Linked DNA regions of Drosophila melanogaster. The gene in region 1 interacts genetically with each later gene. Each region holds a gene or a part of one and is shown on either strand. Other genes may lie near its edges. The genes, in order: robo1, elav, RhoGEF64C and kra.

Region 1 (4,810 bases):
AGCTTCCTTGGATGATGCTGTATCGATTGCCCGCTTGTACGGCATGTCCATCGTGGAACCACTTAATACGGGGACTGGGATTTCCGGTGGCCCGACAGGGTAAAGTAGCAACTGATCCCTTGGGCAGTGTTTGATTGGCAGGTCCGATTTGAATAATCGGAGGTGGACGCTCGTCTAACGAGCTGACTTGCAGGAAAACCCGTACTGTAGAGGAATCGACTACACTGAAAGCGGAACACACATAGTAGCCTTCGTCTTCCTGCCGCACATCCGTAATCTGCAGAGTTCCATCGGCAGCCACATGCTGCCTCCCGTGCGAACTATTTGGGAACATGAGAGTGGATACTCCTTCCTTGGTCCAGAAAACAGATGGCGGTGGGTTTCCGGAGGCCATGCAAGGTAGTTGGACAACACCATTTAGTCCCACTTTCTTGTTACTGGGTCTTTTCGTAAAGTTCGGCGGAGCTTTAATGAAAACAATTGAAGATTAAAACGCGATTCTTTGGTAATGGAACTTAATCTTACCATGGACTATAAGAGAAGCCCTAGCGCTGATCTGACCGACATTGTTGTGTGCCTCGCAGACATAGGTGCCCTCATCGGTGGGCGTTATGTTGGATATCTCTAAACTTTTCTCGTCGTGAAGGATTCGCGCTCTGGACACCGGAATATTGCCCTCCTCCTTTTTCCACAACACTTTCGGCGGCGGATCACCGCCCACTGAGCAGTGGAAAGTGGCTGTCTGGCCGTAGAGCATCACCTGATCCTTGGGCTCCTTCATAAAGTATGGTTTGACCTGGACAATCAGCTTGGCATAGCTGCTCTCGCGGGTGCCTACCAGATTCTGGGCAATGCACTTGTAGTTGCCCTCATCAATGGGCTCCACATTGCTGATCAGCAGGTTGCCACCGTCCACAATTCGAACGCGGGAGCTGGCGCCAAACGACATGGCTTTCAGGTCGTCCAAGGGAACGCCGTCCTAAGAGCACAAAAAGCGGTTTAGACAACTGACTTTCGCAGTCTGGTTTTCGGAACCCACCTTTATCCAAATCAGCGTTGGCTCTGGAATGCCTTTGGGCGGCCCACACTCCAGCAGAGCCGTCTCGCCTTTGGCCACTCGCGTGTCTTTGGGCTCCACGCGAAAATCGTCGCGCAAAACTAGCGAAGAAAAATTGCAAAAATATCAAAAAAGCACATTATAATCGGAGACAAAGCTGGGCGTGTGGGCAGACAAGTTGGAGAGCAGACTAGAGTGGCGGACTAACTTACCAGCTATCTGGAGCGAGGCATGGCGACTAACGGCCTGGCCCACTCGGTTCTTGGCCACGCACCAGTACTCTCCGCCGTCCTGTTCCTTCTTGCCCTGCATTGTCCTGTAGAAGAAGAGGGCGCCGTCCTTGAACTGGACGCGGTGCGATTTCTTTTCGTTGGTGCTGACGGGTTCGCCATCCTGAGAGCGGAAAGAAGAGGGGGTGATTGAGTTACGATTTGGTTCGGTTTCGAAGGCTACACGGAAAAAAACAACTACTCAAAACCACTTATATTTTGTATAATTTTTGAATTCATTTTTGTTTTGATATTTAAAGATAAATAAATATACAATATTGATATGAAAACATTAAGATCAAGTTTTCTTTTGCCAGTGTAATGGTGATTCAAGTTAGAAAAGTATTATTTGGTGGGTACCTTAAACCACTCAATGGTGGGTTCCGGCTTGCCCTCCACTTTGCAGTTGAGCGTGGCGGGTTCATTCTTCTTAACGACCAGATCCGTGGGATGCTCGATGATACGTGGCGATTGGTACTGGCCTGAAAGGAGTAGGAAGGATGTGGATTAGCCACTGGGCCTGGGGAGGATTACCCAGGATGGGTTTACCTCTGACTGCTGGCAGGCCATTGCTGGCCACCAGGACGAGGAGCAGCCAGGCGGGCAGGAGCCACATCCTGCTGCTCCGACTGCGAGATGGGTTATTAGTGGTGCTCGTGCTCCGGGCGATGGCGTGGTTTTCGGGATGCATGGGATGCATTTTATGGTGTTGGTGCTGTTGCAATGACGACTCTACAGATGACCCAATGCAGCGGCGATCATTTTGGCGTTGTTTTTGGGTCCTGCGATGCATGATAGGTGATAGTATGTGGGTTAACTAAATGTGGGCAGCTGTTACATATGTAGGCGTGGCGGCATTATGGCTAGGCATTTATGGGCTTTACTTGCTTTTTGCTTTTTATCTGTCCAAAAACTCGAAATTATTTCTCGCCTGCTCCACTTACGCTTGCATTTCCATGCGATAAGCACACACACACGCACACACTCACGCACACTTGGACACTCACACACCCACACACATGTGTCTATGCTGGTTTTCCATTAATTTTATTTCCGTATTTATCTGCCTTTGTGTTTATCGCTCAGTCTCAGTCGCACCGACCCGAAAATTTACAATCCAAATTCTGATTCGGAGTTTTGATTTCACGTTCTCACACTTTCTTTCTAACGCTTTTTTTGTATCGTTCGCTGATTTGGTTTTTATTTTCCTTTTTATTTTTTGGATTTTATTAATCAGCCGCGCAGTGTAAGTTTTTGTTGGTATTTATTCGACGATTGCTCGCTTTTCGGGGTTGTTTTCTCCATCATCTCTCCTCGCGCACATTTTCCACATTTCCCGAACGAAATTTCTTTTTGGTAAAATTACAAGAACAAGAACTGCCCCGCCACCCCTCTCACTCGCACACACTGCCGTTCTAGCTGCCTCTCGCTCGCACCGCCTGCCGTTCCTGGGACTTCCCCCCGTTGTTGTTGTATCTATATCTATAACAGAGTGTTGTATCTATAACTCCTTGTAATATTTGCTTTACATCCGCAGCAGCTGCACTTTGTAATATCCGAAAACGAGTATCTACTTCAAATGGAAGCTTCGCGGTTGGATCGTACTTTCTTGGGTGCAAACTTACTCCAATTTAACTGTTGGAAATTAACTATTTTCCTGCTCTTTAGTGCGATTCACGGCGCAGCGAAAACTCACAATTGGACGTGGGTCGTGTCTGTGGAAATTTGAGAGCGCAACGCCCGGAATCGATATATCGATATATTTTGGGGTGTACCGAAAAGGAATACTCGAAAATACCAGAGGACATATTTATCAGTTGATCTGGTAGCGCCGCGTAAAGTAACTATTTGAATCTTTAATTGATTTCTATTGTATTGAAATTGAAATCGAAAGATATACCAACTATGTTTTAAGATATTAATAAAATGTAAATATTTAAATTAATGTATGTATTGTGATGTTGAATGGTTTATTAAAAAATTCCGTTTTATTCAGAATATCTATATAATTTGTGTGTGATTGCTTAAATACGTATATATTAATATTCATGTTCACGGTAGAACCAACTGTAAAATACTATAAAAATATATAGATAATTGTTATGGTAGAGAATAGTTCCTACACCAATTTAAGGTGTTTTGTTTAATATAGTTTCCCTGCATTAATCAAATAACTACAGAGTCTAGCAAATTATTCCATTCTGGCCAGGTTCATCTTTCCCCTAGCCAAAGTCCTCGAAAGAACCACGTTGGAGAGGTTGGCTTCGAAGGCAGGCGCTCGGCTGCGTCCTGGATGCAAGTGGAAAGTGGGAGGTGTGGGCGCCGCTGGGCGACGACCAGTCGGCTGGGCACTCTTCACCAGCTTGGGCTGGAGCTGCAGGCGCGACACTCTGTCCACGGACATGCTCTTGGGCCGCCGGGCTAGATAGCTATGGACGTGGCTATTGGAGCCATTGGCAATGTTCAAATTTACCAGGTAGTCCTGCAGCTGCGTCTTTAGCTGGCTGTTCTCCGCCTCCAGGCGACGCTTCTGTTGCTTCAGGCAGGCCACGTCCACGGCCACGTTGTTGACGCGTCGCCAGAAGGACTCCATTTGGGGTACCACTGCCACCTCGTCCTGGTACGTTAAACCAATGTTGAATGAAGAAATTACCTACTGGCATTTTTACTCACCTTAAGAAGATCAGTGGCTGGGTCAGTCAAGGAACCATTACCCTGATCCTCTATATCTCGAATCTCGATAATCTCCTTGGATATTTCCGGCAACTGGAACATCCGCTCCCGCTGGGTTTCCATCTTGGCACAGACCGCAGACAACTGTGCCAGAGTCTCGCCCTTGGCCACAGTTTCCTGGAGGAATTCCAAGGCATGGTAGCTCTCCACGGACATCAGCTTGAACAACTGGTGATCCCTGGCCACCTCCTGTTCCACACAGGTGCGTAGCTCCCTTAGTCGCTCGGTCAACTGCTGTTTGATGGCTTGCCGCTGCTCCAGTTGGCCCTGTTGCTTGATGTAGAACTCCTCGGAGACCAGACGCAAATTGGTCAGCTGGTCTACCAGGTGCTCGATTTCGTGGGTCTGCTGGCTAATCTGGAGGGCTGCCTCCTCATCCCGCTGCTTCAGATCCACGTACTCCGAGTAAAAGCCTTCGATGTGCTGACAGTAGCCCGCCAGAACACCCTGATACTCCTGCCACAGCTTCTCCAATCGAGCTTCACCTCTGGAGGTGATCTGCTCCAGCTGTAGTTGCATCTGGAAGTGGGGTTCAATTTAACATGTTTTCATAAACTTTTAAAATAACCTTTATTGTAAAATATAATCATCGAAGAGCATTGCACGCAATTGTAAAATTAAGATTGATATGTGTCTTGGTTCATTGTGCGTCAGTCACTCTGTAATTTGGATGCCATTCTCCAGAACTATAAATGATGTGGGCATAGCTGCTCCTCCATTCAGTTCCCAAGATGAAACAGTTGATTTTCCT
Region 2 (4,927 bases), on another chromosome or scaffold:
TTTTAATCCCGCTTTGTTGTAACGCAGGCCATTTGCTGTTTTTGTTTTGTTTCTGGCGTGGCTAAAACGGATTATGTGACCCAACCCTTTCGATTTCGAGTCTCATTGTATTACATCCTTTTCCCAAAAATGACTAAAAAAGCGTATTGCCTATTTCTGGGGTGGACAGAATGAAACGGGGTCAGCACGTGGCCGCAAACTTGAAATACCATTATGGATCCAATAGGACTGTGAAGAGTTATTAGTGAAACATTTCGAACAAACTATTCCTTTAATTGAAATTTGCCAATTCCCCACTTAAGCATCGCATTTGCATATTTGTATGCTAACCAAACTCTCTGCGACGTCGATCTGTCTGAATCTGAATCCGCATATCTTTCGAGGGCAGCAATAGCGCCACCCCACCCCATTTCCGTTGCCACTAGCAGCGCACCACCCTTTGAAAGGACATCAAAAACCACCCCCTGCCCAAAGTTGCGTTACAATTCCCGAAGTGCAGTGCAGCGTACATAAAACATACAATGAAATCCGATAAAATTTTCTATGTCCTTTATATCCTCATAACATGCCCAACTATAAACCGAGCCAAATTCTTCTCGTGAAAAAGTTGCACACAACGCGATTTCACTGTACCTTACATTGTTCTGTAAACTGGAACAGAGCGTCCGACTGGAAGAGGCGAAGGAAAAAATCAGCACAGGGAACAGGAAGTTCACAAGGATTGGGGGTGTCCGAGGGTGGCTACATATATATGGCGATATATGGCATACAGTATGTGCATACATATACATACATATACACATATATGTATGTATGTACCATACTATGTGGCGTGTCTAGTGGCGCGAATAACGAATACAGGAGCAATGAAGCACACGAACGAAGCGAAACGAAACGAAGGGAAATATTGAAAAAGCCAGAATTGCATTACTTCAAAACTATACCGGCTCTTGGATATGGGTCCTGGGTCTCGGTTCCTTGCTTCTGGCTTTCGCTTCGTAGGGGGTGTACGAGCAATACTGCCAGGAGAAACCACCCTAGCCTTTGGCGTTGGTGGTTGATAGTGCAAAAATAATAATAACGGAAACGGAACCATAAACCCAAAACAGCCCTTACAACGCGACTGATTTGTAAGGATAATGGTCGCATGCATCATAAAACGGTTGACGACCTCGTCGGAAAGAGCCAACATTTTGCAATGATTTCCAATTGCTCCTGCTATCTAGGCCCAATGGGCCGCTAAGTACATATGAAGCATACATAGCTAAATACATATGAAGCATACATACATCGGGTTAACTATAAAACCAATGTGTTCTAGATGAGTTTGTTAATTTTACAAAGTAAGTTAGGGCTGCTCCAGTGGTTTTAAGTTGCTTAACTGGACAAGAGAACTTGGCTCTCTCCCCCATCTATCTCTTGTCTTCGGGAAAGGTAACCTCCATTTTGATCGGTTGAATTTGTATCAAAAAGCATGAAAAACTTTGAATACAGCATAAACCACTGAGAGAGCAGCCGAAAGCCAGGGGTGTATCAAAAGGGGTTCTTAGAAATATTCCACTTTGCAACGATTATAGACTCGTTTCTTATCAGACAAAACTTTCTCCACTTCTACGTGGTATTTACAGAAACAAAACTTAAGGTAAAATGTTAGGTGGCTATATATTAAAGCTATTAAAATATATTAAAGGTTTCCGGAATAACCCCCTATCTCGGCGCGCAGATACGCCCATGTCGCCACTCTTTCGCTCTCTACCTTCCACTCTCGCTCCGAACACCATTGCAACCCCGAGAGAGCTGCTCGAGAGGCAACTATGAGATATGAGAATGAGAGGTTGCTCTATGTGAAAATGGAAACCGAAACCGTCAATGCCTCAATTTCGCATTTCATTATTTCATTTCCACGCCAACCATCGTGCGCCGCGGTCTGAACGCTCCTGCCACAGAAAAAGAAAATAAAAGCAAGGAAAATTCTAATCGAATACCAAATATCGTGCTTGTGTGCTCTTTCCGCAATTGATTTTTTTTAAGTAGTGCATGACAATAACCGTTGAGTTGACTCCAACCGAAGTAACCATAACTGGAAGCTGACAACAGCCATTGGCCGGAATCTCATCTCACACCGAGCGAAATGTAAGAGTATCCCCAGGATATCCACAATTTGTGCAACTGAATGAAAGGCAATGATAACAATATCAATCAACAACTTTGAAACAGTACTTTTTTTTTGCTAATGATCGCGTCGCGCTGCATAATTGTGCAATTTACTCACTTATAATCCGCGTGTCTGCATATATCCATATGTACCTATATCTATTTTTTTGCTAGTGGGTGTGTGATGTGTGTAAGTTGTATACATTCAAACGAATATTAATAGGCAAAACAACAATATGCAATTCGATGGAGGAAAAAGCGAACCTCCCAAAGAGAGTGGCGGAGAGATGGGCGGCGGTTAGTCAGAGTGAGAGGGGGCGGCCAGTGCGGAGATAGTAGATGTGTTCAGATCTACGCCTCTGTGAGCTGTGTATCTGTAAATACTTGCTGCTCAAATTTAAATCTGTGTGTGTATGTGTGTGTGGGCTTGCGTGTGCGGGAGAGAAGAGCGCTGAGTGTTAGAGCGAGAGCCAGTTCCGAAGAGGGCGCAGCTAGCATATCGATTTTATGATTTCATGTGCAAGGAGCATTGTACGCAACAACAAACGGAGGAACACGACCAACTAACCGTTAGAAGTAGCCATTTTTTGAGCGCAGCGGAGAGGGTGGGCGAGTGTGTGTGGGTGGCGGAGTACTTGCAGTCAACAAAACGCCGGTTGCCATAAAAGCAAATGCACGCAGGCATGAATCAGACCCATGTCGTAGTAGCAATATTAAACATAGAGGATTCGCGATTCACAGCAAAGGAGTTTTTTCTCAAAAAACGACAACAATTAGTTTTTTTTTTCCCAGTGGTCGTCTGTGTTTATGCTTGTGTGGAAGAGAGCTCGAAATAGGTAGATATATACACGCGTATTTATTTATTATGTGTACATATGTGCTTGTAAAAACAATATCAGCCATACAAAGTTTGAGTCCCCTCCGCCCACCTCCTAACAACAACATCGATATCTAAATCGGTGCAGGTAAAGAGCGGTTGCTACAGGCCCAAATAACCTCTCTTCAGTAGAATTTTACCAACATCTCAAAGTATTCTCGCTGCGCCACATGTATGCGTATCTGCACGCAGATATATTTTTTGTATCGCCTGTGAAATATGAATTCAATGCTTTGGATGGGGTAAAATCGATAATATCGATTGGCGATAACAATCGCACGCACACACACAGGCCCGCAAACACGAACAACTAAAACTACAACAACAACCACCAAACCCATCGAATTTACCGCTTATAGTTTTGTTTTATTTTTGTTTTTGTCCACATCAGACGGCGACGCCAGCGTTTATTTATTAAAAACGATTACATTACAACAAACACCAAAGTCCTGGACAACCGAAGAGAGTGTGGGAGAAAATCGAAGCAGAGAGCAAGGAGGAGCGCCGTGAGAGCGCGCGCGCAAGGATTTGAGATTGCAAAGAGAACTTAGCAATTAGTTCGCTTTGTTTGTCCAGCCAAACAACAACAACAACCAACCAGCTCCCCAAAACCAACTACACACATACTCGCTCCCTAAACTAAAACAAGTGAGTATTGAAAGACGACGGGCCGAGCTGACGAGATCGCAGGACGAAAGAGAGAAAACTTTCGAAGGGTGCGGTGTCGTGTCAAGGCAACACAATCAAACCACTAATGCGGAATATTAAAAAAAAAAATTAATTTAAATCATAAGAGGTTAGCTATATTTGATATATATATGTGTGTATCCATGTACATATGTCTATGTTAGACAAGTAGCTCCTTCTTGCCGTATTGTAGTTCGGGTTATCGTTACCCGCCTCTAATTGGCTTGCCATGACGAAAGTGGGTGGTACAGGACGACGACGTGCGTGCGCGTGACCTTTTGACTCTTCCATAAGCGCCTCAATAAAAGGTGCGAGTCGGTACATACATATGTATGAGAATAGAGGATATTAAAAACTAAGAAAAGCATCCACCAAAGTAAAAACAGTAGCAACTAAAAACTTTTCAGTCTCAGCTAACCAGTCCAAACCAGCTATGTAGTTTTTAGCACGACTTTGGGAGTGTCGAATGCGTTAACTAAAGCTCAAATATATATCGAGACCCGCTGTAGTCCCTATATGCAAATCAAATTGCTACCATTTCCGCAGCGATCGCTTTTCGCGACAGCCCCCTCTCTCTGTCGCACTTAGTTCAGTGAACCAACACATTCGCTGGTTTCGTTCCGAGCAGCATCCTCTGTCTCTCTTGCTCAGCCTCTTCGCCGCCCCCTCTGCCTAAGCCTCTGTTTCTGCTGTCCGCACCCCTTACCAAGGTGTCATGTAAATGGCGGAGCCGGCTTAGGGGGTGGCAATGCCGTGCTTTTAACCCTTATCGGTGGCAAATGGCGCTCGTACATTTGGAGAAAATGCCGTTCTACGTTTCGTTTTGCTTCGTTTCGCCAAGCGAAGTATTACAACTTGTTTGACTAAGGGTGGGTCTACCGTCTATTGCTCATTTATGGTGTTTTGATGCTTTCTCAAGGGGTGCGGGCTGGTTTCTCGCATGTCCTGACCCTCTGGGTCATCCCTCTGTTCACCGCATTACATAACTGGGCGGGGTGCACAGCGCGACACACTCTTATGGAGAGAGCGCTGTAATTTGCGGAAAGGAGACGAGGGGGAGAAGGGACGCAAGAGCAGCTACAGCGCGCAGCAGTGCCAGAAAGTCCTGCGCTCGCCCCAGAAGCATCCTGTTCCTGTGACGCAGCGGATCTGGTCTCGCGTTCGCTCCACTACCTCCACTTCCTACACCTACAGTACACATATCACATG
Region 3 (4,734 bases), on another chromosome or scaffold:
TAAAACCATCTAACCAGCCCACAGTAAATCGCTTTTATGACCAAGGGGGTTAAGACAAGGTCGCAGACATTCGTTCATAAATAAATATTTAACACGCAGTCCTTCACAAGTGGGTTGGTTGTCGGGCACAAAAAAAAAACAGGAGTAAGAGTAGACGAGTGCCACTTTGGGATTATATTTATCACTTCATGGCAACTCATTAAATATAAATGATTTTCATTTGCCGAGAGTTGAGAGGGAATTTATTTAGTTGCAGTGGGATTGGACTTAAAAGGCAAACTTTCGTACAATTTGAGCGTAATCCTTAAGCAATAAAAACAAGCATGTGACTTCAGAAAAGTTATTACATTTCATAGAGTAAATTAATTTTTTACAATTTATTATTCGTAAATGAATTAAAAAATCAAAATGATATATTTCATTTAATTGTTAATGAAACAACATATGAAAATATCTTTAAACTTCATAACCACTTTAACATAAATATTTTAATTTTAAATATTTTTGTGGGTTTTTACTTAAATTTCATTCAGCTGCATTTCTGCTACCTTAAATTTTATTTATTTCATTGATAACTTTTCCACCAGTTATCTAATCTAAGCTTAAAACGATTTGAACGCAATCCTCAGACACTTAGTCACCGTTTTAATCTTTTCCTTATCCCCATATTTATTCAGCGCCAGCTCAACTGAAATATCTTAAAGCAAAAGGTCAAGCCATAAACCATTTCCACCCCAGCAAATGCCGCGCAAGGTGAGCACTACCCACATGTGTGCAAGGAAGATGTACAGTATCTTTGGCCTGAGATGTCAACTTGGCAAGGGATCAAAAAAGGGAGGAAGGATCTCTGGTTTTACCGGAGCACTTCAGGTAATTACGCGACTCGTACAAGTCAGCAGGTCAGTCGGCGGGTCAACAGGTAGCTAAGCGCCCCAGATATAAATAATCCTGGTAAACCACGTAGGGACATCATTCACAGCTCAAGCTGCCAAGCAGTCACAGCTTGTCCTGTCGCAGCCAGCATTTTGAAGTCTATACAAAAAAAAACAACAAAGGAGCTATTCTATCTGAAATGGAAGCCCAACGTAACAACGCCAACCACCGACGCGGAGCTCGTCCGAGCGTGGGCTATCTACTTTTTCAGTACCAGAGCGAGCTGACCCGCCGTCATGCGGAACCCACGCGGCTGTCCCGCACCAAGATTCACATAATCGATGGACTGGTGTCCCGCACCATCCGCCACATGAAGCACTGCAGCATGGAGGATCTGAGGGCCTGCAAGAGGGAGCTCGTCTACAAGGAGCAGCTGCGCGATCAGCTCAAGAACATGCGACGCAAACGCTCCTCCTCCGTCAACAAAGTCGATGCTAGTGCCAACACATCCGCCCCCGTTGTGAGTGTCAAGGCGCCATGCACTCCACCGAAACCTCGATCCTCCACAGGAGAGTTCTCCAAGATGGACATCTTCGGACCGGAGATCTTCGTTTAAGTTTAACTTAATCTATTGCAATTTTAAATTTACTAGTTTCCTTAATTGTTGACGATTAAAAATCATTGAACATGAAGATTTCTTAAGAAAATTATTCAATAAATAAATATATAAAAGCAAAATGCCAAATGTTTTATTATTTACTTAATATGTTTTCCAATGGCTATTAACAATGCATTTAAATATGTAAATTGCTAAATTTGAACTAAGCCCGACGAATTCACTATTAAAAGGCAATAATCTGCGAAAATTCGAAAAAAAAAACCAAAATTACAACAACAAATGTGGCAATTACACAAAAATGTCAATTGTCCGCGGATTTGTTGTAGGAGTGGAAATTCCTGTTCTGTAAGCCTGTTTTTGGCTCTGTTTTTGCTAGCTAGCCAGGGCTAAAATGTGTGCCGCAAAATGCCAGGCCCGAACTCTGGGGCTCAAGAGTCAAGAGTTCCCACGGAGCGAGGCAGCATCGATCCATTGAAAATTGGCCACCACTCACCGATCTGTGATAGATGCGTCCGACCGAGAGAGCCAAGAAAAACAGAAAACCAGGCAGCAGACGGGCCAAGAATGCGGTTTAAAGTTCAATCGTGCAGCAAGTGTTATTTAGGGGTTCGCAGTGAGGCAGGAATATCGATCTATTCGGCGGTGAAAAACGTGAGATGCGATGATCTAACCGAAGCTTTCTTAGCCAGCCAAAACAGAAGCAGAAGTTATGAACCTGCGACCGAAGACAACTGATATGCAAATCGTCAGCGGGAGAAATGTATACTAATGAATATATTAACCAAATCAAGTTCTAAGCAGTTCAGATGTTTTCACAATTTACCTCATTAGCTTTATGCTCATTGGGGGGGATAATATCTATAGTTTGTTGGCATTATATTATTTTCTCGTTTATTAGAATGCATTTGCCTTACCTTTTTGGGTTTCTTCGGGGCCCAAATTAAACGTTGAAATATTCCACTTGCTGTACAAATTTGTTGCTTTCTATTTGCATATCGCTGGGTACAATAAATTATGAGCACAATGTTAACAGGCGAACAAATAGAAGAAGAACGTATACACCGAGTGACGTTTTTCCTTCTATATAGCGAGCACTCTCTTCTTTCTTTCTTATTTATTATATTTTCTACTTTTCGGCAAGCACATTCGAGTGAAATGCAGCTGCGACGGCTGCTCTGGTTGTAACTGTAGTTTAGACACAAACACGTTTTCTTGCGGCCAGCCCAGTAATTACGGCAAAGGCTATTTTAAGGCCTCAACCAAAAATAACGAAAGCCGATCCAAAAGCGAAGAAACCGAGAAATGCAATCGCCGAGCAAATGCAACGCGGCGAAATGGAACGAAAAAAGCGAGTTAAAAGCTAAAAAGCCAAAATGCAAATGGTAACACGCACACCGCGCACTAACACCTGCACAAACACACACAAAACGTTCGTTCTTCGGCGAAGAAGAATCGTGTTTATATATCACCGTTGGATTGCATATATCCAACAGATCGCGTCGCGTTTCGAGCTGCACGACGGTTAACTGACGAATGACCAAAAGTTTCAGCTGCCGGACAGCTTGGAGTTCGAAAAGTCCGCCGCTCTGAGTTCGAAAAGCAAAAACGAAGCAGATCGCGCGCGCTCTCTCTCTCTCTCTCTATTTTCATCTCCGATGATCGCAGTTCGTTGCCTGAGTCTTTCGACTCTGGCCGTTGTTTTTTTTTATTTGTGCTTAGAATCTTTAGTCTGTTGTTGCCGTTGATTTATTGTCCAAAAATAACTGTTTTTTCATTGTGCATTGAACTTATGAGGAAACGAGAGAGTAAGAAAAGCACAAAATTATTTTATTATCGATTTTTTGATGACACACTTCCCCGAAAGATTTGGGTTTTCGGATGTTCTTTCTGTTATTTAGATCTGACAGATCTTTTGATCTCTGCTCTACGATTCGGCTTTAACTTTCGCTACTCGACGCTCTCGTTTGCTCAAAGACTTTTACTCTCTAGCCCAGCGCAATTACGATTGCAGCTCTCACTGCTCTCACTCGAAGTTTTGTTTTCGGACTTAGCTCTGAATTCGCTCTGTTTACTCCAGAAATTACCACCTACTGCGGTCTCGCTCACTCGCAGGGCGGCTTAGAGACGCCTCAGCTTTTTTTGGTCTATCCAACTTCGAATGACTTCTTAACGGTTCGGTACTTAATGCCTCGCTTTTTTTTACACTGATAGAATATTTTAACGTGAGCCTAAGTGATAATTAAGGCAATCATTTTTAATACATAAAGATTAAGAAAACTGTATAATTTCTAATTTATATAATAAACAAAATAATAATAAACATATTTCACAAAATCACAAATACATTGTTGTTTGTTTTTTCGTATATTGGAAAAGGCTGTAAATCAATATGCACAGATAATAAAATGTACTTATTCATCAACCAGCTCCCAATAATTTTTTATGTCCGAGAACTTTATGGCTAAGTTATCCATTTTTTTCAGTGTGCTAGTTAGTTTTTTGTCATTACTGGGCTCTCACACAGGGCGCTGGAACTGCAGCTGTTATTGTCATTTTCCTTTTAGCAACAGCTTCACCTCAACTTAGTTTGGTTCAGCTCGCTTCGCTTGAGCGTAAATTTCTGAGGTTTCCAGGCTATTCTTTTGGATACCATAATGCTGCCGCTCCTCCGCACCTTCTCCTTGGGCCATTATCAGCATTGTCATCGTTGTCGCTGTGTCGTTTGCTTTTTGCGATTTTTCTTTCAGCTTTTCACAGTTTTTCCTGCCCCATGCCTTCCACGCTTGTAGGGCTGCTCTGCTGCTGGATCTGCCATATATAGCTATATATGTCTATATATATATATTTACCACAACTGAAACCGCAGCAGTTGGCCGCCGATATGATCTGATTTATTGTAGTTTCCCGACTTCTTGTTGTTGCCGTCGTCTGTTAAAATATTTATTTACAATTTTCACAATTGGCATTTCAGTTCAGCGAGCTTGTCTCTGATTGTTTGATTGCATTGTGCCATTGTTATTGTTGCTGTTGCATTTGCTGCAGACTGTTGCCCCACTTTTACTTATGCACATAAATAATTAGAGTATTTATGTTGTAAACTGCTTGATAACAACATTTGCATCGTTAGCCAAGTTAGCACAAGTACGCCTCAAGTTTTAGGGAATTCTGAGTATGTTTATCTTAATTTGCCAAATGTTCCTCGATAACACTATTGATATTCGAGTACTAAGAGTGATTGCAAC
Region 4 (7,556 bases), on another chromosome or scaffold:
AAACTTGTAATATTTGTCACAAATGAATGACGACTAGATTTGGCCATGTCTGTAACAATAAACGTACAAAATATTCGAAGTTGCAGAAATGGGGATCCAGCATTCGGATTTGGTTTTTTGTCAAACTTTTAAATATAGAATCGGACCACATCTTTTTAAGACCTTAAAAAACTGATTTGAAGTTAGACCCCTCATAATGCCAACTAAATTTGTTAAACAAAAATATGCCCCTATATGCCAATCAAATTTAAATACAATGCTTTCTCAGCGTTTCAGTTAAATACTTTGGGTTGTTTAATGGTTTTATACGTATACATGTGCTAAGTCCATGTATCTTATATTTCGTAAATCCATAGATTTTGTTCGACGAAACTTTGCTAAATGATATTGATCTTTCAAATATAACTTGTTAATTTCCTTTCATCGCCGTGGCAAATCCTTCGAGAGTGAGTACTACTTGTTAAACGCATATATGAGGAAAATTTATTGATGAATAATGCGAACATGCAAACGGAACACATCCCCGAATTCACACAAAGCATCTCTGTGGTATCTCTTTTGGTTTTTTATTTGTTGCATCAACTCCGCGGAACTCCAGCTACCTCACTGCAGGTCGTAGTAGTCGACGTTATTGGCGGTCAGATGTTCTCTATTAATTTGGAGCGTGCTGCTGTTTCCACTTCAAACTTTTATTAACATATATAGTATGGGTTTGCCGGTATATTGCAAACGGGAACTAAGTGTAGATTCGTGAATGATATCAGACTGGACTGCAAACGTTTAGTTTCTAGCATGTTTTTTTTACTCTCTCCTTTATTTGTTGGAATTTTTGAGTTTTATATAGGTGGAGTTTTCAAAATGACATTAATTCATAGGGGTGAGTTTTATATATAGTTCGACTGGCTGTTGCAGGTGCTGGTTTCGAATTTTTGGATGGGGATGCTAAAGGGCGGCTCCGTTTGTGTTCATCCTCATTTAGCCATCAACCAAGTTCTTACTCGCCATTCTTTTGTTCGTCCTCAGATTCGGATTCTGAAAGAGAATAGAATACAAAATGTTAGTATGGGGGCTTCAATTGGTACAAACTGAAAAGATGTGCAGCTCCGGTTATGCTGTCCAAATGATTATTGGCCAAATTTAACTATGGAAAGTTATCTGGACACCCAACCATTCAAATGCTTTGGCACAACTCCCCGCTTGGCTCAATCGAATGAAGCAACCATTCGGAGCTTTTATGAGGGGATTGTGCATGCGGACTAGGACAAATGCAGCTGTCCAAACGATTATTGGCCAAATTAACCACGGCATTGGGTTATATGGGCACCCAATCATTCTTTCGCTTTTGCATACTGTACATGAACCCTTTAAAACTGGTTCCTAATAATGGGAACACTTTAAAAGCTTGGTAAGAAGCATGCTCGGTGAAGTCAGCTATTTGTGTCCAAGTTTTCATTGGCCTTTGATGCTCGGATTTTGTGAGGCAACAAGGCAAGCAAAAACTCAAATGCTCTTGCAATTTTGTACAATGAAAATGTCATCCAGGACAAGACCATTCTCAAAAAGTGCACTGTGTAAAGTTTCGAAGGAAGCAAAATTTGAATATTTATATTGTCCAGGTTTTCATTGGCCTACGTTGTTCAGTGAATGGAAATCAACGAGGCAAGCAAAAAACCCAAATTTCTCTTGCAATTACGTACCAGAATCAAGCTATTTAAGACAAGACCATTCTCAAAAATTGCACGCTGATAACATTTATCAAAACATACTAACCTTCTTCGGCTGACTGAAGCCATTCGACAAACTTTCGCATTTGTTCAAGGAAATGCATTTTGCCCTTGTTTGAGTGGCCCTCCTTGTACCAGCGCAAGATGATCTCCTCGGACAGGACCTCGGTCTTGTAGAACAACAAAATGATTTTCTGGAAGGCCTTCATGAAGTTCATGTTCTCGTAGCAGAATTCCTGCACCTTCAAGATTAGGGCCAATTCCGAACGGTCGGTCGAGGCGAAAGCCTGCAACAGTGGGCAGTAGTTCTTCAGATGACGAACAGCCTGATCGGTAACCAGCTCCTCCTTCTTGTTCCATTCGCCCAATGACATGATGGTGGACCAAATCTGGTAAAGATCATACATGAGATTTAGTAAGGAAATCATCCAGTTGGATTATTTACGCATCGACTTACAATAACAATTATTTCATGATCGGGAATGTTGGTGCGCTGCGAGAAGTCCTTAATGTCTGAGGTTATCTCATTATATGGCTTCTCATCGTTGATATCATCGATGAGCGCCTGCTGCAACTCACGCTTCGCCTCCTGGCTAGCCTGAGCCTTATGTAGCTTGACGATCTCGTTAAGTTCTTTGTCAAGAAAAACTTGTTTAAAATATTCCTCAGTACGTTTGTTCGGTGGGAAAAAGTCCATAAGTCTGGAAAAACGTGAAAAAGTGGAACCATTATTAATAATTTAAGTTAACGCATTCAATAATCAACCTTAAATGACGTATTGAGGTGTACGAAATTAAATCAGCACCCAAATGAAGCGAAAGGTCATTTGCGAATTGGGTAAAACTCCGTCGAACTTTCTTACTCTAGGAATATCAATTAAAGATGCACAACTGGATCATTGAGTCATCTTCCTGAGAACATTCCGGGGCTAAAAACAAATCACAACTAAAAACTTACTTGCTTTCCAGTCCACCCTTCTTAAGCGCCTGAATCAGATATGCAATGCCCTTCTCTTGCTTGAACGTCTGGAACAGCTCTAGTAGAAACTCCAATGCAATGCCATCCTTGATTAGGTGCTCGTTGTTTAGTACCAGTAAAACATTTGGCGGTACAGAACCGTTGACTGTTGATCAAAAATAGGGTTAAATATAGGGTTAGTCAAATGTTTTCGCAAAACAAGTTTAGACGGCCGGCTAGCAATCCTGTCCTTGGGCTCGTGGCCCTTAGATGTGGTTAGTTCATCCAAGAGTCAGTATACCAAGTGAAGGATTACTTTAGCCCCTCAGCTGCAAGTTGAACAAGTGTTTATCGAAACAACTAATTGAAAGACCGAATGGGCAGACGCAAGCAATGCACAGGAGGAACAGGAACATAAATGTTAAGACTTACCTAACCAGAGCGCTGTCATACGCGCAAGCTTGATGCGTTCACTAGGAGTAAAGCCCTTTACGAATAATAGAACCTTTCCCATCTCCTCTTCGAACATTTTCTCAAGGTACTTGTACCGTCTGATGAGCTTGACAAATACCTGGAAAAGGTAAAGTGTGATTGCCCCTGTTAGCGGATGGTGAAATTTTACTGTGTTCTCACGCAGGAGGCTTTTGTATTTGTTGTTGCAACATTAGAAATCTTTAGATTGCTGGCGGTAGTAATTTTACAAAATAAAGACAAGTAAAATGTGGCTTTTTATTTTGCATATTTTGACACCGATTGAGTTGTTGAGATGCATAACCGGTTCTAATAATATGCACTTTGATTCAATAGCGTGACCTTCGCAGTGGTTGCATGCATATAGTATATATATATAGTGTTGAATAAAGAGTAGTTGTTGACACATAAGAAATCTTCAGAACGTTAGTGTTTAGGACAAACCAAAGACAAGTAAATGTGTTGATTGTTATTGCATATTCTTGACACCGATTACATTTTTGAAACTTTATAGTCAGCTCTAATGATATGCAGCCACTTCACGAATTTCATACTTTTAAGTGGATCCGAAGAAAATCATTTAGTAGTAAATAAACGTTTTAGCTTGGAAAACAACAAGAGCTCAACTTGTGTTGCAATCAAACCAATTTTCGTTTACTCATAATCATAATTTAAGTATGACCTGCTAAAAGATTACAAACCTGCTCATGGTTGCGCATGCTCTCCATGCTCTCGGGCGCATCGAAGATGCAGTAGCTTGTGCGCGGCTTTTCGCCATCCTGAGATATAGAACCACCAGGCACTGCAATTGAAACGAGGATGGAAAAGGGTCAGTGAAGAGACTAAACACATTACTTGCAGCGGAAAACTTACCTAGTAGACCTCCTGCAATCAATATGTCAAAGAGAACTTCACCGTAGCGACGATAGTCGAGCTTGTTGCCCGCGCTGTCTAGATATTTAGAGATTTGTTCCAGGTCGCCTTCAGTTTTTTCGAGACCAGCAATGACCGCATCACGGAATCCCGTTGGGTCATATTTTTCTCTTTCATCTCTTTTTCTGGTCTTGATGCGTTGACCCGATAGCACTGGTCTTTCAGTTTTTTGACTCATACAATAAATTGCTGCAAAGGTAAATGTGGATCAGAGATGGAAGCGGTTTTGGTTTGCCCCTGTAAGTTTTTATTTCTGACCAGACTAAATTATCATGGCCACTAGATTCATTTTTAGATTTATCTTAATTTTAGTGTAAGATGACTAAGGTGGTCTCCAAGCGGTGGAAAACCGTTCCCTGTATATGTATTCTCGTTGCGCTCATAATCAAACTACAACATTTTCACCTATGACCGGCGTTTAAGTGGAAACTCTAGTGAAAACTGAGCCTAAGAAAGCCTTAACCTAAAAATGCCAGCGTACATGTGCTTTAAACACACACATTCAAGAGCGGAGAACGGGCACACTTCACATCTCTTTTTAATTATCTCTCTTTTTCACACACACATACCCACTGTGCATTTTACAGTTTGATAATGTCGACAAAAGAAATAAAAAGAATTGAGAGGTGAGGCGACCAAGAAATCGACATAGAAACGCAGAATAAAGTGAAATTTTGACGTGGTTACTTGTGTTAGGTAGCGCGCTGGGGAAATGAGGTCATTGTGCATGTAGTGCACATAAAAACGCGCCGATGACTGTGTGCTAGTTGGCCGGGAAAATTGTCATAGCAGCGAAAACGCAAAAATTAAATTATCTAGGCTATCAAGTACACATTGGTACATATAAGGAACGGCAACTTACGCTTTCACCCAAGGATATTAAGTCTGGCCCTGTGTTTGCCGCTTCCGCGTGTCCTTGCAATCAATTGAAATCAGTCGTGTGCGAGTGTAGTGTGTATGTGTGTGTGTGTGTGCCTGTTGCTTTTTCACAACTAACGAACGTGCGAGAATATGTAATTTAATTTAACCTCACGAAGCGCTGGCTGGTTAATGCTTCTCACTCGAGTCGACGAAAAACAAAGAGACAGATGGCAGATCCCTTCTTTTCTTACCTCTCTTTTCTTATGAGCGAGCTTTTGCACGGTAAAATTGACACGCACGCACACACACAACAACAAAGAAAAGGGGAGAGCAAATAGAAAATATAATTTTTTGTAACGGAATTTACTTTTATGCCTTCAAAATAAACGTTAACAATTTTGCTCAGACTACGTCCGGAATTCTATTTTTAACAGCTATCACAATCGGTTACTAGGTATATGTGTTGTTTGCCTCGAATCCAGCGCCCCTCTGCTCGCACCACTTTGTTAAACGAAATTCGGAGAGCGAATGAGACGACACACGAGCGCACGAACGAAGCGGACGAGCCGAGAACGAAGACATGTGGTTCGGCGCCATTTTGAAGCGATACACTGACATGGCGAAAGCGGAATGATGGGCACAGGGAAAACGAAAATTAGGGGGAAACGGTGAGAAAAAATGTGGGATGGGGGTTCAAAGTGTGTATATTGCTGTCGCGCTTATTAAATAATGAGCAAGGTACAGTCGAACAAAGGCCGACGGCCACCAAATGATTTTTTGCATGAATATATGACTGCCCGATGACTAATCTGGCCTTAGGTACGCACGCAGTTCGTACATAACCCCTTTTCCAACGAAAGCGCAGACAAAGGATTGGTCAAGGCCAGAGAAATGACCAGGACCGCGATTTTACTCGCCCTATTTGTCTTTCTGTGTACTTAGGTCTACTCTAGCGCTATTTTTCACTCCTATACTTACGATTAAAACAAAAAAATCTGTTTTGCTGCGAATAAAAGTAACTTTTTGCGTAGCTGTTGGGCTGCTTCTTCTGGATGACTTGCGGTATGACCGTGGCCTGCTTCGTACGCAATGGTACAGAGCTCACTAAGGTGTCCAAAAGGTGGCAACATTTTGGTGAAGCTGTTGGCTGGCCCCACTAACCGGACCTGAAAATGGTGCAGCGCTGCCGGACATTTAACGGAATCAAAGATTCCACAAAAGTCATGTTTGCATTAACAAAATTCATATTTAACCTTAACAAATTCAACAAATTAAGTTAAGTCCATTTTAGTAGCGTTGCGAGGAGTTTATTTTCGAAAATACGCCTTTGTATATATTATATATTTTTCCTCCACTTTAAACAAAATCGAAAGGTGTCCATTTGTCAGCTATTTAAACAATATGGCATCGCCGCCTTACTTGCTCAGTAAGAAAATTTAACTGTTTTTTTTTTGCGCACCTGAAAGCGGCGATAGACATTGTTTACTTTTAGTTTATATTTACATTATCCAAAAGCCAAATGAACTTTGAGCAGGTCAATATACCAGAGAAACTAGTGCCGGACAACTATTTGCAACTGGGACTGGCTGCGCAACGCAGTAAGCAGCGCAGTTTTAAGGAGCTGCTCGAAAAGGTAATCAAACCGAAATTAAACCCAAATTAATTGATAACTCCATGGATAATTCTTCTTTTCAAGCGAAAGCTTCCGAAAAATGGTTGGTCCGATGAACGTATCGAGGAGCTGGTGCACATGCTGGCTTCCTTGGACAGCAATAACTATCCACATAAGGTCGGTTTAGGAGAGCGGGAGGCGCGTATAGCCTGCAGTAAGTAAGGGATCAGGAGGCGATATCCCCCGTAATGAATTTGTCATTCAGAACTCGTGGCTCGCCGTCACTACAACTTCGGTCATGGTATCGGCAGATCTGGAGACTTACTAGAGGCACAACCCAAGGCAGCTGGCTCTACGCTGCTCGCTCGTCTCACAAACGCCCTGATTCTGGACCTTATTCGGGGAATCGGACTGCCCAGCTGTGCTGGCTGCTTTTTGGTGCCAATGTGTACAGGCATGACATTGACTTTGTGCCTGCAGAGTCTTCGCAAGCGGCGACCCGGGGCGCGGTATGTGCTCTGGTCCCGCATCGATCAGAAGTCCTGCTTCAAGGCCATCACAGCAACGGGCTTGGTGCCGGTAGTCATCCCCTGCCTTATTAAAGGAGAGTCCCTGAACACGAACGTAGATTTATTCCGAGAAAAGATAAAGTCATTGGGAGTGGATAGCATCCTCTGCCTGTACACTACCACCAGTTGTTTTGCTCCACGAAACAGCGATGACATTGCCGAAGTATCCAAGTTGTCCAAACAATGGCAGATTCCCCATCTGGTCAATAATGCCTATGGATTGCAGGCAAAGGAAATCGTTAATCAGTTGGAGTGCGCCAATCGAGTCGGACGCATTGATTACTTCGTTCAGAGCAGCGACAAGAATTTGCTGGTGCCAGTGGGTAGTGCCATTGTGGCCAGCTTCAATGAGAGTGTGCTCCACGATGTGGCCAGTACTTATGCTGGGAGAGCTAGTGGTTCCCAGTCACTAGATGTCTTGATGACGCT

The links.
Region 2: of robo1 (region 1) and elav, changing one suppresses a phenotype caused by changing the other (phenotypic suppression), as found in Drosophila melanogaster (one study listed by BioGRID).
Region 3: of robo1 (region 1) and RhoGEF64C, changing one suppresses a phenotype caused by changing the other (phenotypic suppression), as found in Drosophila melanogaster (one study listed by BioGRID).
Region 4: of robo1 (region 1) and kra, changing one enhances a phenotype caused by changing the other (phenotypic enhancement), as found in Drosophila melanogaster (one study listed by BioGRID).

The regions. Positions count from the first base shown.
Region 1 is NT_033778.4:22,697,927-22,702,736, forward strand, and holds the start of robo1 (roundabout 1), read right to left. Parts: upstream 3,045-4,810; 5' UTR 2,952-3,044; intron 2,670-2,951; exon of another isoform or gene 2,271-2,669; intron 2,109-2,270; 5' UTR 2,027-2,108; coding exon 1,876-2,026; intron 1,809-1,875; coding exon 1,687-1,808; intron 1,451-1,686; coding exon 1,270-1,450; intron 1,159-1,269; coding exon 1,040-1,158; intron 980-1,039; coding exon 526-979; intron 466-525; coding exon 1-465. Other genes in the region: CG30259 (uncharacterized protein), read right to left, coding at 3,518-3,943, 4,000-4,578; Obp59a (Odorant-binding protein 59a), read left to right, coding at 4,791-4,810.
Region 2 is NC_004354.4:520,192-525,118, reverse strand, and holds the start of elav (embryonic lethal abnormal vision), read left to right. Parts: upstream 1-1,892; 5' UTR 1,893-2,133; intron 2,134-3,422; 5' UTR 3,423-3,678; coding exon 3,679-3,679; intron 3,680-4,833; exon of another isoform or gene 4,834-4,927. UniProt on the Drosophila melanogaster protein: Required for the proper development and maintenance of neurons presumably by affecting RNA metabolism.
Region 3 is NT_037436.4:4,691,078-4,695,811, reverse strand, and holds the start of RhoGEF64C (Rho guanine nucleotide exchange factor at 64C), read right to left. Parts: upstream 3,030-4,734; 5' UTR 2,407-3,029; intron 1,608-2,406; exon of another isoform or gene 1,490-1,607; coding exon of another isoform or gene 1,073-1,489; exon of another isoform or gene 967-1,072; intron 1-966. Other genes in the region: CG15876 (uncharacterized protein), read left to right, coding at 1,073-1,489.
Region 4 is NT_033777.3:5,595,091-5,602,646, forward strand, and holds kra (krasavietz), read right to left. Parts: upstream 6,047-7,556; 5' UTR 5,925-6,046; intron 5,482-5,924; exon of another isoform or gene 4,948-5,481; intron 4,484-4,947; exon of another isoform or gene 4,275-4,483; 5' UTR 4,264-4,274; coding exon 4,026-4,263; intron 3,955-4,025; coding exon 3,854-3,954; intron 3,688-3,853; exon of another isoform or gene 3,548-3,687; intron 3,477-3,547; exon of another isoform or gene 3,333-3,476; intron 3,253-3,332; coding exon 3,114-3,252; intron 3,068-3,113; exon of another isoform or gene 2,925-3,067; intron 2,848-2,924; coding exon 2,682-2,847; intron 2,650-2,681; exon of another isoform or gene 2,506-2,649; intron 2,426-2,505; coding exon 2,182-2,425; intron 2,114-2,181; coding exon 1,771-2,113; intron 1,742-1,770; exon of another isoform or gene 1,607-1,741; intron 1,569-1,606; exon of another isoform or gene 1,436-1,568; intron 1,420-1,435; exon of another isoform or gene 1,270-1,419; intron 1,251-1,269; exon of another isoform or gene 1,111-1,250; intron 1,033-1,110; coding exon 995-1,032; 3' UTR 274-994; downstream 1-273. Other genes in the region: SecS (Sec synthetase), read left to right, coding at 6,466-6,579, 6,643-6,772, 6,824-7,556. UniProt on the Drosophila melanogaster protein: May be involved in memory formation.